Linked DNA regions of Astyanax mexicanus. The protein of the gene in region 2 interacts with the protein of the main gene of each other region in a pairwise test. Links are inferred from orthologs where the notes say so. Each region holds a gene or a part of one and is shown on either strand. Other genes may lie near its edges.

Evidence for each region.
Region 1: the proteins of coiled-coil domain-containing protein 158 (region 2) and gpsm1b interact in a two-hybrid assay, tested with the Homo sapiens proteins (2 studies listed by BioGRID and IntAct). The link is inferred for Astyanax mexicanus from reciprocal best matches to the Homo sapiens genes CCDC158 and GPSM1.

Annotation. Positions count from the first base shown.
Region 1 is NC_064408.1:4,130,159-4,139,742, forward strand, and holds the start of gpsm1b (G-protein-signaling modulator 1b), read left to right. Parts: upstream 1-4,981; 5' UTR 4,982-6,891; coding exon 6,892-7,103; intron 7,104-9,584. UniProt on the Homo sapiens protein: Guanine nucleotide dissociation inhibitor (GDI) which functions as a receptor-independent activator of heterotrimeric G-protein signaling.
Region 2 is NC_064429.1:24,060,421-24,070,969, reverse strand, and holds the start of coiled-coil domain-containing protein 158, read left to right. Parts: upstream 1-6,297; 5' UTR 6,298-6,729; coding exon 6,730-6,826; intron 6,827-7,029; coding exon 7,030-7,084; intron 7,085-7,485; coding exon 7,486-7,622; intron 7,623-7,717; coding exon 7,718-7,902; intron 7,903-8,455; coding exon 8,456-8,565; intron 8,566-8,643; coding exon 8,644-8,962; intron 8,963-10,034; coding exon 10,035-10,111; intron 10,112-10,262; coding exon 10,263-10,373; intron 10,374-10,482; coding exon 10,483-10,549. Other genes in the region: protein FAM189A2, read right to left, coding at 920-976, 3,391-3,699.

The DNA.
Region 1 (9,584 bases), on a different chromosome or scaffold from region 2:
TAGTAACAGTGCTTCACGGAAAACATGATCATAATTCCACTATTAACACATTAAATCACTCAGGTACAGGTTAATCTACAGTTATACCAGCTAGCAGTTAAACCTGTTGCACTGTACGACCCTCTGACACTGCTAGCGCACTGGCGGGGTTAGCTTAGCATGCTAGTGTAGTTAGCTTAGTGCACTATCCGTGGGGCTTGGTGCTTGGAAAGCTAGCTAAAGGGGGATTTGCTTCCCTGGTGAAACGGCTAACCCGCTAAGCTAAGCTAACGGTGGATTCAGGCGGACAGGTCTTACATTTAATCAAGTACAGGCAAAAACGACACTGGAAAACAATTTGAAACAGTGTTAAATGTGCTAGTTAAAAAAAAAAAAAACAGGCAGCACTGAGTGGAAAAGCAGTCAGAAGAAAATTACTTACATTACATTTTTGCAGAAACTCCCCGCAGACTCCCCAGACTCCTGGGCGCTATATGTGTAAAAAACTTTACACATATGCAGAGAAAATGGGCTAATTGTAAGGAACGATTTGGGTTTATATGAATCGATATCGGATCATTCAAATGAAGATACGATTTTTTTAACACACATTTTTTTAGATGACACACTTGGATTTTCATACATTTTTAGGGGTGTATTGTGTTGTAATTGTTGTTATTTTATTAGATACTGCTATAACTCTGAAACATTTGTGGCCTGCAAGCATGAAACATCGGGCCCGTGATGTTGTTTGAACTATAATGAACAGTAAAGAAAAAAATAAAATAAAATGCTTCTCTGGTGAGCTTTTGTTTACATTCCTCCCCTGTCTGTCTCTCTCTGTCGCGCTCAGCATAACTTTAGTTTCTGCTCGTCCTTGTTTTTCCGCTCGTTCTTAGGCTCCCTATCTCCTTTTAAGGGCGTTTTTTTCCCCGGCTGTGTCCCAATTCACTAGCCGGGGCAGCAGTAGTGTATTAGAACGCGACCCTGATGACACAGGTTTGATCGTGTGTTTATTTATTTGTGTGTTTACTTATTTATTTATTTACTTTACTCTTGGGTTTATCTGCTCTGAGATCAACTGTTCTGCAATTGGGTTCAACAACCCTCTGGGCTGGGGAGCTACTAGTCTAGTCAGTTTAGTTCTGCACTACTCCTGCCTGTATTACTCATATTGTGGGAAAATGACTGTAAGACATGTTAAAATAAGGTTTTTTAGGGCTTATTCTTTCACTGCTATAGCTAATGTAATTATATTAAAAGTACCTTACAAATGCAACATCATAATACTACAAAGGTACAATGCAGTTTATAGGTTTTAGGAAATGGGAAAATGAGTGTGGGACATATTGAGATAGATTTGCATGTGCCATTCTTTTACAGCTATAGCTAATTTTATAATTACTATCTGCTAGCTGTGCTACATGAGTTAATGAGTTAAAAATGTATTATTTTAATATTGCCCTTGCCAGCTTGGTTTGTGCTCAGTGCTACCACCCTTAAATGGGTTTTGACACAGTTCTAACAACTGACAGATGCTAACCATACAGGAAACATGCTAACATACAAGCTGTGAGCTAACATGCTAACTGTAGGGTAAAACACACTAAATAAAATTGAGTAGTAAATGTGAGGCTCTAAGGCTCCAGCTTCAAGTTTACGCATCAGCTGGAAGTTGTAGTCAACCCCTATATACTGCATTTTGTGTCATGTAGCACAGTTAGCACAATAAAGTCTATCACTACCACATGTATCTTTCTTTATGTCTCACACTGATTACACTGGCAGTAATTGGAGTAATTGCACTAAGACGAAATTAGCTAGCATGTAAGTGCTATCATCTCAGCACTCTCGGCTAATTGCCTGGGTAGTTTATAATCCGGCAGGATCCCAAATCTCATTTCCTTTAATTCAGGATTACCCAGTAAATAATCTTAGCCAACACAACAAAGAGCAGCTGCACTCAATGTATATATATATATGCATATATATAAGCTATATATATATCATGTTTGAGCAAAATTAACACTGCTGTTTTATTCTATAAACTACAGACAACATTTCTCCCAAATTCCAAATAAAAATATTGTCAATTAGAGCATTTATTTGCAAAAAAAGGGGAAATGGCCAAAAAAAAAAAAAAAAAAAAACAACAACAAGAAAACAAGTTCATATTCATAAAGTTTTAAGAGTTCAGAAATAATCAATATTTGGTGGAATAACCCTGGTTTTTAATCACAGTTTTTTTTCATGCATCTTGGCATCATGTTCTCCTCCTCCACCAGTCTTACACACTGCTTTTGGATAACTTTATGCTGCTTTACTCCTGGTGTAAAAATTCAAGCAGTTCAGTTTGGTGGTTTGATGGTTTGTGATCATCCATCTTCCTCTTGATTATATTCCAGAGGTTTTTAATTTGGTAAAATCAAAGAAACTCATCATTTTTAAGTGGTCTCTTATTTTAGTTCCAGAGCTGTATATATAGCCTTATACCTGGTTTCTTTATGGGTATAATAATAATAATAATAATAATAATAATAATAATAATAATAATAATAATAATAAATGGCTTAAATTGCACATATTTGACTGAAACACATACTGTATCTAGACGCTCATGACCACCAGAGCGCCTCGCTCTGAGTATTAAAGATTCATGGGTGTCGTGACCCTGAGCTGAATTAATAGGCGTGGGTTGTGCCGTGCCGGTGGGGAAGCTCATCAGCTCAGCACGTCAGCAGCCTGTCTGATGCTCGTGTGCAGCGCTCAGATCAAACTCTGTGAATGTCAGAGAAAAGCGTGGCGGTTCTGTGATCTGCATGGCGGTGGTGGGGGGGGGGGGGTTACTACATGTTTAAGCAGCTGAACATATGTTAACATGCACCGCTCACGAGCTGCTAATCGTATTGCAGGGCTCAGTATGTTCACTGGTGCAGACGCACTGCGAGGAAGGTCTAGGACTTCTTCTATTCCATGATAAAACTCTTGCATCCGGGGTACAATTAAAAAAAAGTAGTTCAGTGGCTCCTCCATGTCCACTCGCTGTTGTGTTTTTTTTTAAGTGGATCTCCGTGGAACCTGTGGTGCAACCAAAGTGTAATGAAGGTGCGCGGCAGTGAACAAATAGCTATTTTATTAAACGTAAGGAGATAAAACTCAAAGATGTGGATCCGGACAGGACTAAAATTACCGGAGGACCACGAAAAGAGTTCAGCGAAAAACAGTAGATAAATTACGTCTGTGAAAAACACCTACATGGTCGTTCTGGATGGGAATAAAATCACAGAGGACCCCCCTATAAAAGAGAAAATTACATCAGAACCCCCTGAGACACTTATCCCCCTCTAGATAGGGTTTTAAAATCTTTTAATTTAATCAAAAATCGTCAGTGCACCTTATATTCAGGTGTACCTTATGTATAAATTTTATTATGCTATAAAAAGTATTATAGTTATAAGGGTGAGTTTTCAGTGAAGTTTCTGTCCAGCGCCAAGGCTGAAAAAAAAATAGCATTAGCTAATAACCATTAACCAGGCTAACCATGCTAAGAGCTAGCTCTTTTGTTGTTCAAATGTTAGTATATCGGATCATACATTTATTCTGATCCTTTGTTGTTACTGCTGTGTTTCAGTACCCTTTAGCACCCTCTAAGTACAATTATTGTACATTTGTTTATTGGCTACATCTATTCTAATCCTTTGTTTTTACCACTGTGCTTTCTTTAGTGCATCCTCTAGGTGCAATTAAAAGATGTTACAAGTTGCAAATCAACTCTGTCAAATCTGATCCTTTGTTTTTGTCAATGTGCTTTAGCAGAGTGCATACTCTAGGTCCAATTATTGGACACTATGGCTTGTGGATTGGCTACTTTTATTCTGATCCTTTAAATTGCCGCTGTGCTTTAGCAAATTATGGCCTTAATGGACATTACAAGTTGCATATGAACTACATTAGGTCTGATCCTTTGTTTTTGCCACTGTGCTCTGCCCTTTGGCACCATCTCGATGCCATTAATAGACATTATTGGTTGGGTATTGGCGATGTTAAACTGGAATGAGTTCCAATCCCTTGTTTTTACTGTTGTGCACTAGCAGAGTACCATTTGGCACCCTCTAGGGGCAATTGTTGGACATTACAAGTTGTGTATCAACTACATTTTGTTTGATTCTTTGTTTTTGCCACTGTGCTTTAGCAAAGGATGTCATTAATGAACATTAAGAGTTGGGTATCAAATATGATAAATCTGATCCTTTGTTTTTGCCACTGTGCCCTTTGGAACCCTCTTAAAGCCATTAGTAGACATTATGGTTTGGCAATTGTTAAGCTATGTTAAGCTGGAATCTGTTCTATTCCTTTGTGCTTTTAGAGGGTACCCTTTAGCACCCTCTAGCTGCATTTGTTGGACATTACAAGTTGCTTATCAATTACGATAAGTCTAATCCTTTGTTTTTGCCACTGTGCTCTCTCTAAATGCCCTTTAGCACCCCCTAGGTGCTATTAATAGGCGTTATGGGTTGGCTTTTGGCTATGTGAAGCCGGAATCAGTTCCAATACTTCGTTTTTGATGCTGTGCTTTAGCAGAGTACCCTCTGGCACCCTCTAGGTGCAATAGTTGGACATTACAAGTTGCGTGTCAACTATACTGAGTCTGATCCTTTGTTTTTGCTGCTGTGCTCTGCCTGAATGCCATTTTGCACCCTCTAGGTACAGTTATTGGACATTATGATTTGTGTATCGGCTACATTAATTCTGTGTGCACAGTTTTGTAGACTATGTCTTGAATATTGGCCATGTTAAGTCCGATCCTTTGTTTTTACTGCTGTGTTATATCTATAGTAATCTTTATGGAGCATTAGGGGTTAACAAGTCTTCATTGTCAGTGTGTTTTCCTCCATATATTATGAATGAACGTCTGCAGAGCTCCTCCACGGGGGAGTGCCCTTCTCCCAGGTCTGAGCTCCGATTGAATATCTGTCAGGATCAGCAGGTGCTGGATTAGCCGGGACTTCTGCGTGATGCTCCGGGTGTCCTTCCAGCCGAGGCACTCTGGAGAATTAGGGCAGCTTGTGGCTCTTAAAGGCTCATTTACCCTGCTGAGCAATACTGCTGTCACACTGCCGTCATTCATCGCTACCCGTAACCCGGTCGCTGGAGCCTCGGCGAGACCCTCGGCTTGAGAAACGACAGCATTCGTCACCGGAGACAGTGCTGGGGCTCGTGGTGAAGCAGTCGGCTCGTGATTTGGTGGATTTGTTGGGAGAGAACAGCAGGCAGAGCTGGTGGGCGGAAGACTCCGGTAACAGAATGGATTTTTGATTGAAATGACCTTGCTGCCCGTGGACCTTCGAGTGGGTGGTAGAAACTGCAAGCCTTCCAAGATATTCTTTTTTTTCTTGAGATATTACATAAGATCTTAGTATTGAAACTCTGAAAGATACTTTCTGCTTCTTACACAAGACATTTTTGCCTGTTTTTACCTCCTCAACATTGTCGATTTGAGAACTTCTCGAGAACCTTTTGTAGGTTCTTGTTGAACCGCTTGCTTTTAGTTTTAGGGAACCTTGTTTTTGCCTGTTTTTACTGATTCTTCAAGACTTTGACTTTGTCCAAAATTGTCCATTTGCGTAAGATGCCTGGTAATTTGAAGATTTTAAGGACACCCTGTTTCTTGATAGCTTCCACAAGACTCTCTAAAAATCTAATTCTAAAGAATAATCTAAAAAGGGTAAAACAACTAAACTTTGGGACTTTGTTTTAAACTTTTAGGTTGTTAATTTTAAGGTCTTTGAGGAAACCCAGCATCTTCAAGACTCCTTGTAAAACATCCAGTCTTTTAAAGACACTGAGGACAACCTTTCACGAGACTCTGTCATCTAAAGACTTTAAGGACACTCTGTTTTTCATATGTGGTCAATTTTTAAGTGTATGACCACATCTTTGGATTACTTGTTTAAGACAGATGTCAAATTCTTTGTGGACACGTTCTTTTTATCTAGATAATTTCTTAAAAAACTTCAGAATTGTCCATTTGTCTAAGATGTCAGATTTGGTAGCTTCTCCAAGACTCTTTCCATTTTCCTGTCTGTGTAAAACATCCAGTTTTTTTTTAAGACGTTGAGGACAACCTGTCCAAATTTTGTATGAACCCCCTTTAAATTGTGACTTCAGGATTGTCCATTTGTTTAAGACATGGGAATTCTTTGAATCTTTTTGAGGACACATTGATTTGAAAGCTTACTCAAGACATTTTAAATTCAAGATCGTCTCATTTGTGTAAGATACTGGAAATTTTGTAGGGACACTCTGTCCACTCCGTCCATTGTCCCATCTATGTAAAACATCCAATCTTCTAAAGACGTTGAAGCCCCTTTTTTTTTTTTTTTTTTGCTATTAAGACTGTGACTTCAGGATTGTCCATTTGTTTAAGACAGGATTTCTTTAAAGCCTTTTGAGGACACGATAATTGGACACTTTCCTCAAGACTCTGTCCATGTTTTGGTAGCTTGTTTTCATCTATATAAGACATTACCCTTTTTTTAAAGACTTTGAGGACATTGGACAGTTTCTTCAAGACCAATGTGAAAAATATCTAATCATCTAGTCATCAAGTTACCTGATGTCCCCTTTTTGACTGTTACTTTAAATCTGTGATTTTAAGGTTGTCCCTTTTTTGAAGTCTTTGAGGACGTCCAATTTTGTTAGCATCTTCAAGACTCAAGACTGTCAATTAAATCATCTGTGTGAAACATCCAATCTTCTATAGACGTTGAGGACAACCTGTTTTTGCCTGTTGTCCAAATTCCATGTCCACCTTTTGGATAAAATCTTTGAGGACACCTTGATTTGGTATTGTCTTCTCATCTACATAAGACATCCAATTTTCTAAAGACTTTTTCTAAAGAAAAGTTCACGATGAGTCACTGTCAGGTCTTGCTTTGTAACCGTAAGCCTTTGGACATAAGTTTGAACGTCCCAATGTCCCCCGAAGCCTGTCCTCTGAGTGCGGCTCAGATTGCAGTATGCAGGCTGGTCCATCGGGGTCCCAGACCCCAGTCCACCTTAAAACCCATCCGGACAGAGCTGGGGGTCTACGTGGAGAAGAGTCGCGCTAAACGGAAACACAGGTACAGATGAACCGTCGCACACAGACGACTCTGTCAGGATTAGCCTGGCTAATCAGCTGTTAAAGCTACACTGAGCCGTGGGAAGTAGGGCAGTACCCATGATGCTTTGCTACGAGTAGTAAAGCAAGGCCTTGTGTGCTGATAGAGCTCGTAAAATGTGAGATTTATGGTGGATAAAGTTGATTAAATTGGTGTAAACTGGTATAATTGTATCAGGTTCCCATTGTTTTGTAACTCACTGCTAGTGCTGGGCAGTATGACAAGAAATGGTACAGTATTTTACAGTATTTTATTCTTATTATTATTTTATTGGGTTTTTATGTAGGTTTGTGATTTACTCTACTTTCAGATGTAAAAATCATCACTGTCCAATAAAAAAACACTTATCTCCATTTTTGCCGATTTTTAGTTTACTACATAATTTGAAAAGACAAACTGTCCCTTACACTGTGCCAAAATTTCTAGATGAACGGACCAATAGAAACTCTTCAAAATTACCTGAAATAAACTCTTTTTACATTGACTTCCATTGAAAGTTTACAAGTTTTTTCTCTCTTCTGTAAAGTTGATGTTTTGGAGATAAGTGTTTTTCATTGGACAGCAACAATATAGTATAAAACACTAAATCTTTTAATTAAGGCTTTGATTACTATTGGGTTCACTTTGTCCCACAAAATATATAAACAATATATGAAGAAATCAGACTTTATTATAAAAAAAAAACAGCTGGATATTGTAATTAAACAATAGACTTAAAAAAAGAGATACACCAACAACTTTAACACAGCTTCCTTTTTAAATAGTTCCATAAATGCTATAAACCTAAAATACTTAATGTTTAATCATTCAAAAAGATATTTCTCAAAAGCTCTATGGCAGACGTTTAATATGTCAAATCAGATTTGGTCTTCATAATAGAAGCTATTAGTGCTGGGCAGTATGGCCAAAAATGCATATCATGGTATTTGTTATGATTCTGACGGTTTCACGGTATATAACCGTATTTTTTACATTTTTAAATTATTATTATTTTTTGCATGACTGGGCTTTAATATAGGTTTGTGAGTTACTGTACTGTTAGTACAGTAAGTATTCAAAGATATATTTCTCAAAAGCTCTATTGCACAATAAATAAATATTTACTATTTATTATTCCTGAAGCCAATAGAGGCATTATAGTACAGCTACAATTTCCTTTCTTTCTCCAGTCAAAAAATACATTCAAATCGTCCTTTAAGCCACAGTAATAAATAATTAATATATTTAAAAGGGCTGTAGTTACAACTCTATAGTACTGGGATAAAACACTCAAAACAGAAGCAGGAGCTGGTAGTTTCTCACTTCACATGGTTGCAGCTGCTTCTCTGACAGTTCTGTTCCGCATGGCGGTCCACAGCGCCCTCTAGCGGTATGGCGGTATGAGAGAAAATGCAATGATTCCTGCAATGGGCGCAACCTATTGTCCACATACTGCTTCCATCTCAAGAGCTTGTCTTGAAGACACTGCAGATGCTGTACTATGTCTTTTCTGTATATTTAGCACAATAAATACAACAGATATACAATCTAAATGGATTGTTCATGGTAACTTTTATCTTCATTTTAAATAGCATAGCAATCTGACTCTTCGTTTGTCGTGCAACTACTGTATATTTCCAAATTCTTCTATATTTGGCCAACTTGGGGCCCCACAGGTTGCGAACCACTGCTTCTGTAAAAGGTTCCTACAGTCATATTTGTGTATTAAACCTCAAAAACCTCAAATTGTACACAATTTCTGTGAAATCGGAGATTGAACTGAGTCTTGAATCGTTTCCTAAATAATCATAATCTAATAAAACCTGGTGTCAGAGCTTTACGGTTAGCGTATCCTGGAATAGAACGTAGGAAAGAACCTTTTCCTGTCTGAAAACAGAAACGAGTGTGGTTGGGTTAACGCCTTGCCAAAATTCTTTGGAGCAGATTTCCAGACTTCTGTTTTAATCTCTTAAATTCTTCTCAGACAGCTGGAGCTCCTCTGCTTCAGACTGCTCTGCTCTCTGGCGAGCCTGTTGGGTAAAGTCGTCATAAATGCGGGAGGAATGTGAGCTATGGAGCTCCTGACCTCAGAACAGAAAGGATATTGTTTCTCCTCCTCTCCTTTTTTTCAGAGACTGAAGAATCTGCTCTAACCTCAGACATTCAGGGGCTTATTGGTGGAAAGAACTAGAACTAGAGCTTAGAAACTCATATAAAAGAAAGCAGACTTCTGAAAGAAACTTCGGAAAGAAAAGCATAGCAAAGCCAACAGCCATGATAAAGTAAATGAAATGAAGTTAACTCATGTTTTTATATCAAAGCAATCTGTTTTTTATTCATTTATTTTAACTGCAAATGGTGCCGAGTCGTATCTGCTGATTTTTCCATTTTAAATCTAGGCTTGATTCTGGCCCAAAACCACTCCGGTTGCTGAGTGTAATATATTGTAATTATGCTGACAAG
Region 2 (10,549 bases):
AAACAGCTGAACAAGAGGAAAGAGGCATGAAAAACGACAAACAGATGTGTATGGGTCAGTGTGGATGTGGATTAGAGCTTGGGGACCTGCCCTGAAGGAGTACAAGCAGTTTGGTGGCTGCCAGACAAATGAAAATCAAAGCCTCTGAATGGAGGAGATTTGGGAGGAACAAAGGATGAAAAATTATAAATAGGTGAGTGCAGGTCAGTACAGCTGTGGATAAGAACTTGTGGACCTTTGCTGAAAGAAGACAATTCACATTTTGGGCAGTATGACTGTGGATTAGATCTTACAGATCGCACAGTTTGGTGGTTGTTGGGCAAAAAAAAACTAAGGCTTGAGTCTAAAAATGAATAGGGGTGAATTGGAGGAACAAGGGGTGAAAATAACACAATAAATAAACAATATGGGTCAAATGGACTGAATTTATTCGTGGGGTCTTGCCTTGTTTTTAAAATGGGTGGTATCAGTTGAGAATATATACTATAGATATGCTGTCGATTCTTATTTAGAATTTTGGACTAATTTCTTTATTTTGAAGCTGCAGAGCAAAACTAAATAAGTAAACATTCCACACAAAGGTCCAATCCCATTAACCCCTTTCCCTTGGAAGAGAGTAACAAGTGGAAGGGGTGAAATCTTGCCCCTAAAAATGGGACCACCCTTTTAAGTACCCAATACAAATATATAGCAGTGAAGCGCTAAAGTTCAGCAACCTAGCTGCTGGTTAACTCCTAGGCATGCATGCACAAACCAAAAGATTAAGAGTAAGTGGTAGGGCCAAGGGGTGAAATGGGATTACACTTAACATACATTATTTTTCCACTGGACTGTTTGTGGGAATTAAATTTTTCTATGTACCATCCCTTTAAGCGTGAATATCAACCAGAGTCAGAAACTGAAGCAGTGAGACACGTACCAGCAGGAGCATTGGCCGCTTCCATGTTGTGAGACCGATAATCCCCGAGAGGATGACCTGCAGAGAACAGAATCAGCTAATTCAGCAAATACGCCATGGAGCAGACAGATTAACTTTGCAATGTAGCTGCAGCAGATGCGTAAGGTATTACCATATGGCCACCAACACTTTTACATCCTGCTCTTTGTTTCTTAGCTCTGATGGTCTCATGTATTTTTGTCCATGGAAAACCCCATTTTACTCATTTCAAACCATCTAAATGCTTTTTTTTTTTACCTCAGCATCTTTGAATGCTACTTTCTGTTAATAATTTAGAGATGCTTCTCTAATATGTGGCTACACAATTCCTGGATTTCCTCAGTAATCCTTCATTATCCTCTAATTGTTTCAGTAAAAAATGATGAATAATGTATGACAAGAGTGGAAGAAAACAACTTGGGGTGAGTTCAAATTGCGTACTAATATTGAGTTTTGTGTAGGTCACTCTTGTGCCACCACAACCGATCTGACCATTCTGTCAGGCACTGACTGCACATTAGCTCTGAAGGCATCATGTGGTATCTGGCACCAACATGTTACCAGCAGCAGATCCATTAAGCTCTGTATGTTGTGAGTTTGGGCCTGAACAGATTGCATCAATGAGCTGCCCCTTAAGGTGCCCCTTAACCTGTTGCCAGTTCACAGGTTGTCCTTTTTTGGACCACATTGCAGAAAAAAACCCACAACCACCTGATGTTTAAGAGATGCTCTAAGCCCATAGTTGTCTAGCCGTCATAGTTACGCTATTGTCAAAGCGGGTCAAATCCTGATTTTTGTCCATGTTTTGTGTTTTTAACATCACCTTCAAAAATGACTGTTCACTTGCTGCATAATATGTTAAATCCCACTGAAGACCAAGATAATCAATATATTTTTTTGCTGCGGCTGTCAGTGGTTCTTATGTAATAGCTAATCGATACATAGCTACATAGTTGAGCGTAATTGATTGGCCAAGACATGTTTGGTACCTGAAGTTTGCTTCGTTAGTTTGGACTTGAACTTATGATAAGTATTACTTTTGTAAAATATAGCTATTATACATTTTTACTATAGTTAGTAGTTTAGTATAGTTTCAAAGCTTTAGCAAAAAAAAACAATTTTAGACACCAAACACATCTGATCAACCTCATCCGAGATGAGAGAAATTGTACACTACAGGCCAGTGTGTTTGTATAAGAGAAATCTTTAGCAATACATGGGCCAAAAGTTTGGACACACCTTCTCATTGTTTTTTGTGCAGATTAATATTTGGTTAATATTGAAGAAATATACTATGAAGAAATACATATGGACTTTACACACTTCAGGTAACCACTTCAAGATTGTTAGAAAAATATTCACAGTGACTTATGAAGCTGAACAAGAGAAAAAAATGACCCAGACTGTTTAAAGCTGTCATTAAAGCAAATCAGGACTGATGTGAAGAATCGAATAAAAAAATATTCTGGTTTAACACTGTTTCTATGAAAAAATATTATTTATTAAGTAGTTTCATCGTTTTCAATATGAACTGCAATGTAGAAAATAAAAGGAAAAAACATCAAATGAGAAGGTGTTTGTCTAAATATGTCAGTACTTAAGGAAACAATACTACAACACACCAAAAACTATAAACACTGACTCGCTACTGTATCACCACATTATAAACACATCACAGGTCATCCGCTCATCTCAGTGTTTGTATTTGAGATAAATATGGCCAAAGCTTGAGGTCACTGAAAGTAATTGCAGGTAACAGAATTGTGGTCATATACTGTTCATTATATCCTTGCTGGGGGTAAAATGGTTTGTCAGATTAGGTCTTCAGTACACTTTTTTTGTTTGGGTTTGATGGTTTATCTGGTTCTATAAGAAGGACCAACCTGACCAACAAGACCAAGCTGGACTAACATGACCAAACTCAAAAGCAACATAGACAATACTGGGAGTAGTTAGTCAACAAGCTGGGTTATAACTTTTCTATCTGTGACCAAAATTGAAGTTCACATAAACATAATGTGGCTTTGAAGCAGTATACCAAATCCATCATTTTTTTTATTTGGTAACCAGCTATTCAAGCACATTGCCCCTGAAAGACCATCAAAACCAGCTACTAGCAAAAGCTGGTATTGGGGTGGATTTTTCAGCAGGGAAATCCTATTAACTCAATCAAACACTAATTAATTAGCTAATCAAGTATAAGCTAAAGCTTACCTGTGGTGTTCACAACAACAGCTTTACACTACCACTACTATAAATCATACTCAAAAACAACCAAAGAAAACTGGAACATGCAGGTAAACCTATATAATGTAAACATGACAGACTGAAAATCTTATAGGAAGCAGCTTGTTTACATTTTTTATAAACACGACGGAACACAAAGCAAACACTGCAGGACACGTATTTAATAACTAAAAATGAAGCTAAATCTCAGACACTGAGGTACTCACTGAAGATCCTGCCCAAAACGGGCACGAATTCCGGATGGGAGGCGAGTTACTGAGGGACAGAGCCCCAAAGGACAGCGCTACCATGGAGCAGCCGAGGACCAGCTGCAGCAGCCCGAGCGAGAGCAGCGGTCGAGCGGGCAGCAGCGCGGGGGAGAGCCGCGCCTGGGAGCCGGACATTCGCCACCGAGCGGCGGCCGAGCAGCAGCGGCTGCGGCCTCTGGAAGACGGCGAGGGCTCTCCGAAGTGAGGGGCTAGAGAAGCCCGGGCTAAGCGACAGCAGGAACCGGGCAGGACTACCGGCAGAGACATTGGAGAAGAGCGGCCAGGAGAGGAGCAGCAGTGACCGGGGAGCGGAGGCGGCTCGGGTCCCTCATTTTACTCCGAATGGGTTCAGCTGAAACCGGCGGGAGGAGCTGCTGGATCCCCTCAGCGCTCCGTCCATGATCCTCTCGAGGTGGAGAGAAAGAAACAGAGAACACGAGGGTCTAAAATAACTCCTGGCGCCCGGATTGCGTTTCACATAGTTGGCAAAGAGACAAGAGAAGAAGAGGAGGAGGAGGAGGAGGAGGAGTGTGTGGGAATAGACCACCCTGCACTGAGAGAGAGAGAGAGAGAGAGAGAGAGAGAGAGAACAAGAGTGTGTGAGAGAAATATAGGGAGAAAAAGAAAGAAAGCGAGAGAACAAGAGAAAAGGAGAGAGAATTGGAGAGATAACAAAAGAGAAAAAGAGAAAGAATAAGAGAGACAGAAAGCGAGATAACAAGAAAAAAGATTAAAGGAGAAAAAGAGAGATGTGTATGACAGAGAAAAAAAGAACAAGAGAAAGAAAGAGAGAAAGAACAAGAGAGAACAAGAGTGTGAATGGGAGAAAGAGAAAGAAAGCAAGAGAACAAAAGGAAAAGAGAACAGGAGAAAAAAAGAAAGAACAAGAGAAAGAGTGTGTGACAAAGAGAACAAGAGAAAAGGAGAGAGAAAAAGAGAAAAAAGAAAAAAGAGAGTGTGTGTGTGAGAGCAAAAGAGAAAGAACAAGAGAGTACAAGAGTGTGTGAGGGAGAAAGAGAAAGAAAGCAAGAGAACAAGAAAAAGAGAATGAGAGAACAAGAGTGTGTGAAAACAAGAGGGAGAAAAAAAGGAAATGAGAAAAACAGTAGAAAAAGAGAAAGAACAGGACTAAAGGGAAAGAACAAGAGTTAGAAAAAAGAAGATAGAGAACAAGTGACTGTGACAGAGAGAGATAGAGAACAAGAGAGAGAAAGAAAAAGAGGGAGAACAAGAGAGAAAGAAAAAAGAAAGGGAGAGAGTGGGAGTGAAGAAAGATGATTTTGCTGATTCTTTTTTATTTAAACCAAACAGCAGTCATGCTCTCATCTTAGAGTGCATTATAATAAATCAATCATTTCTTAAAATAAGATGACCACAAACAGATTTTAATAAATCAAACCAATAAAAAAAGCAAAGCTCCTTCTCCTTCACACTGCCTTGTCCCAGCACCACACAGACGTGAAAGCTTCTAAAATCATGCTGAAGGTTAAAAGCTTCTAAATCATGCCACAGATTTAAAAGCTTTTAAACATATGCTACATACTTAAAGGTGTCTTACCATGCCGCTTATTTAAAAGCTTCTAGATCATCGAATCATCAAATAGCCATTAAAAGCTACTTAAAAATGCCCTTAAAAGTAATTTCCTGTAAAAGAATCAAAATGAAAAAAAAATAATAGAACGAATCCCCATTCAAATTAATTGAATCGCCATTTAAAAGGATCGCACATAGACTGTATATAAAGATGGACGCCGTGTCGCCGTTCCCATTCATTCAATGAAAATGAAGCCAAAATCTTCCGCCATTTTGGCGATTCAGAGACCAGAGTCTGCGCAGTAGAGACCAGAGGAGGGAGAAAGGCTGTGGAGAGACCGCCTACTCTTTTAAATAACCCCGCCCCTGAGGGCTGCCTCGCGGTCACAGACTGCAGAGCGGGACGGAGCGGAGCTGACGGTCTGTTATTGGTCCCGTCCATAAGCAGCCCTTTTACCATAACCACACCTTTTTTTAATAGAGCCGAATAAAGTTTTAAAAACCGAATTCTGTGGGGATATAAAAATTTGACAATATAAGCAGAGGTTACACTAGCTGTTGCATTTAAATAATGGAGGTAGAATTACAGTATATTAGAAAAAAACGTGATTGAAAGTTGTCTGTTTTGCCATTGAAACCTATGGGGATGGGTGGAGTTACACAGCTTTCTGCAGCCGAACAGCAGGGGGCGCCCGACCTGTGGTGGCTTCACTTTTAAGAGACGATGCTCTGTCCAGCTATATACAGTCTATGGTATGGAGCGAATTAATAGTTTGGTTTAATGTTTATATTTTCTGTAGAAACTGGAAATATATGTTACGTTTTCTTTGCTTTTTTAAACAAAATACTTCATTCTACTTTCTAGAATTAGAGGAATATCCTGGAAAAGTATTTAGTTATATTTTTTAATTTAAGTTTTAGCTGTTTATCTCCATTGACCCCCATTCATTAAGGACTCACTAGTGGGCTCCATCTAGCGGTTTGAGCTCATTTTATGACAGTAACGGCAGGAATACCAGTAAGTGGCGGTCTCTCCATGAACCGGTGTTTTGTCGGGTTAAGATACCCATCGATACGTGCTTCCTAAGGCACTGCGCATGCGCTGACCTACACTTTTTGATGATTTAAACACTTTAAAAACAAAATTGTTTTGTTTTGTTTTAATAATAAATCTGTTATAACATGGACTCACTGTCATTACAAAAAAGTGTAAATGAAAATTAATAAGAATAAAAAAATACAATAATTAGTATAAAAAATACAAAAGCATTTTGTAATGTCCTCTCGTTGCCAAGGTACAGTAATTTATGCTTTCCAAATATACTAGCTAGCTACATCTACTGGGACTCTTACTGGAAACATGCTCTACTATGGTGTTTTTACAGTTAAATAAACACTAGGGCAGCACGGTTTGACAAGATAGCACAAATTGACGGAACACCGGCTCTGGTACAGTAGGATACCTGTTGCTAGAGCAACAGCGCGGCTTCCCTCATCCAGTTAAGCTGTAGGCTAACAAGCTAAGCTAAGCTAAGCTAAATTAGCTGCCTTGGCTCACAGAGAGGGGAAAAGTTATTGAACGGAGTTATTTTGCTAGTTAGCGAGGTTAGCTAAGCTAATTTAGTAAGTATGCATTTTGTTCGGCGCCCGGCAAATTAACGACTCGCCCAGCTCCGCTTTTCCATATTTACTATTTCGCCCGCTGTTTATTTTATCAGTGTTGAAGAGTGAACAATCACAGAATGCAGCCCGACTCTGCGAACAATGTTTACCGGTCAGAGTGAGAAGCGCCTCCGCCCGGAGGTCGAGCCCCGCCGTGAGAGAGCTGTGAGGGACCCGCTTCAGCCAGCTCTTCCCCCAGGTGAGTTCAACTCTAATATTCCCGCTGTTAGTCCGCATAAAGGCGGCAGGAAAACCCTTAAGGCTGTAAAAGTTTATCGTAGTTTGGTAGTAAGCTAGTATGTTAGCGATAGCGACAGTTAACTAGCTAGGTTAGTTAACTAGTTGGTTAAGCAGGCCAGACTTTACTAATCTAAGTCTAACAGTTCCTTAATCTTTTTTTAGGTTGTTTGGAAGAAGGCATGCCAGAAAGACCCAATATCAGCCTGGATGTTCTGAGGTATGAATAATTAATATTTGGGAGAGATCTGTCTATCAATTCACTCATTCACCTGTTCACCTATCCATTCAATTATCAATCTTTCCATCTCTCTGCCTGTCCCTCTATTCCATTCTCTATCCATCCACCTGTCTTTTTTGTCAGTCCATCCATCCACCCATTGATCTGTCTTTTTCTCTCCCTACCTGTCTCTCTGTTCGTCCGTCTGTCAATCCATCCCTCCATCCTTCCACCCACCTCCTTTTGGTCTGTCTGTCTTTTTTACCTTTTAAATCCATTTTGCTATGCCCACTAACTTGACAATCCTGGTGATGCCTCTGTTTCCAAGAAAAAGGTGGGTTGAAAAATAGTGATGTAAAAAACACTTTTTGTTCTAAACAAACTAATCACACTCTTCAAAGTGAGGAACTGGAGAAACAAACCAGGGAGACACAAAAGCTTCAAGAAGAAGTTGAACAAGCCACCAGACTGACTATGCAGAGGATGGGTCGGACATCTTTCAACACGGACTTGCCAGTAAACTACAGTTCAGCAACAAGTGAGAATATTACACTTTTTGATAATAGCCTGTTATCTGTATACTTTGAAGTCTACATGAAACTCAGTTACATGATTTTGGCTTCTGTCTTGCAGGTAGATCATCAGAAGCATCATCAGAACGTGGCATTTACAGACAACCGTGCGTCCTTCGACCTACTGCCGATCATTTGGATGTGAACACCGCAGGATGTTTGAACTTCCCAGGGAAAGATGTTCTTGAGCAGGCTGTAGAGGAGTACTCTCAGCAGGTCTCTGACCTTCAAAGGCAGATCAGAGAGGTCTGTATCTGGAGCAAGTTAGCAGCCTTTTTGAAGTGATATTTGTGTTTCATACTAGGGCTGCAGTGCACAGTCCACATAAAAATCAATGACATTCACAAATCTACAGATTGCAGTTGCAGTCATATTGCTTATGAAAACATTAATAATGACTGGTGGATTTGACAATATTTTATTATTATTGTTTTAATGCATTATTTTATGGCTTTTTCTGAGTAGCGATTCGACACTGAACAGGGTATTTCATTAAAAAGCTTAAATACTTGTTATAATACTTTAATTTAATGTAATTAGTGCCTTAGGGTATATTATATGTTTAATATTAATTAATACACTATTAGTTATATATATTATGTACAGTTTGTGCTATTGGTGTTATTTTGTATATTTTCTGTGTTATGGCTTTTTAAATGTCTGAGGGAAAAACATTGTATTATGTATGGTGCAACATAAAACTTGTGATTAGTATTTTTGCTATATCGATTAAAAATTAGGTCTATCAGGTGATTTGACCTTATACAGTGTCTTAATATTCCCTGTTAATTTCTTTCAGACATATGAGCTGCATGACCAGCAGAAGTATCATTACCGCCACACCATCATCCAGCTACAAACCAAACTGCACGAGAACCAGATTGAAAAAGATGCACTGGAAGACTTAAGGTAAGAGAAATCTAAACATAACCCTTGTGATCTAATTATGACTGAAGTGCAGTACGTCTGTACATTTTCTCCTTACAGAGAGAAGGAATCTACGAAGCAATTTGAGCTAACAGGACAGTTACAGGAGACTCTTCAGGAGTTGCACAAAGTCAAGCAGAAGCTGATGGAAGCTGAGGACAGAGCAGAGTGTTTTAGAAGACAAGCAGAGACCATGGAGCAGATGCTGCATGACGTGTTCATCAGACTCTCACAGTATGAGAAGCGCAGTGGAAAAAGGAGCTATCTCTGCTGTGACGGCCCCTTCAATCCTGACAAGCTTCCGCTAGGACCAGTCCTGGAGAAAGCACTACAACATATTGAAAATGAGAACTGTGGTCTCCAGGAGAAACTGCAGTCGGTATGTCACTTATGTCTAAATGCTTTTATATGTTAGAAATGTTACTTTGATAATATTTGATAATTGTGATAATTGTAAAATTGTCGATTATATTTTTGTATGTTTGGTCACATATGTAACAGTGAACAGTATTTTATTCAGCTAAGTGAACAAAACTGTAATTCTTAAAAAAATGAAAATTATTTATTAGGGAAAGTAAAGGGCTACCTTTATTTAGAGTTAGCTTAGATTTCCAGATTTTCAGTAAGTAGCAGCATTAGCATTAATGCAGCCAGACAGTGCTACATTGAGGAACCCTAAGTGTTCGTCCCACGTAGCACGTAACGTGGTAAATAAGCAGACTGCAGTCTGATATACTCATCTCTCTGAACGGTGAAAGAGCTAGCGCTTAGTGCGGTTAGCGGGTAATGCTAATACTGCTCAAGCAGTGCTAGCCGGGGTTAGCAGCAGTCTACAGGACGATAATACTCACTTTGGAACTGCAAAATAACTAGCGCTAGCACTTAGCGCAGATAGCGGGTAGCTCCAGCAGTGCTAGCCGAGGTTAGCAACCGATAATACTCGCCTCTGAATGACAAAAGAACTAACGCTACTAATGCTAATACAGCTCCAGTCTCTGTGCTGGAGAACTAAACTGGAACTCCTGTATAACTCTTCTGCACTTCAGCACAGTGGCTTAACTGTTCTGACTGTTAAAATTTATACATAAGGCATTTTGGATCATAAGGCGCACTGTCGATTCTAAAAAAAAATATATAGGATTTTAATTGCTTTGTTATGCTATTATCGCAATATTTTTGCAACTATGCATTGTCCACAAAAAATGCTAATAGGACAGGCCTTTGGTGAATTAAAAGACAAGGTGATGTTAGCCATTTTTATGAGGTATGCTAATGCAAGTGTTTTCAACTATGAGTGGATGAAAATATTTCCATAAATGGAGGGAAATAAACCTGTGTTTTTTGTTTTATATATTTTCATATGTGTGACTAATGGCATCACTTTAAACTGAATTGTTGCAAATGTAAGTATCACCTGACTGGCAGTTAATTATTATTATTTTTTTGGGCAGCTGGAGAGGCAGTTGGAAGACATTAATAAAGAGGCGTCTGAGAGAACAGAATCTCTTCTGGAGGAGCAGAAAGTGAAGTATGCATATAAACAACTAAACAATACACATTTACTATATAGCTTTAATAACGTTATATATAATGATTTGAGATTATTGATATGATTGTCAGTTATTTGTACAATTAAATATGTATGTATGCATAATTTTTATACATTGTGTTTTATACAGAGTGGAGCAGCTCATTACCAGTCATGACCAGGAGATGGCGGCATTGACTAAGAGCCTCTGTCGGTCTCAGAGTAATGCAGCCAGTCTGCAACTACAGGTGGAATTATTACAGTAAGAGCCATGCTGATCTGCCTCGGGCACATTTTATTATAATGCTATAGCATCTTTAAATAGTATGGAAGCGTATATAGAAGTATTTTGTGTTTTGTGTTTATACAAGAAAACAGGCTGAAAGCCAGACCTCCTCTCATCAATCCCAGATCAGCATTCTGGAGTCTGCTCTCTCT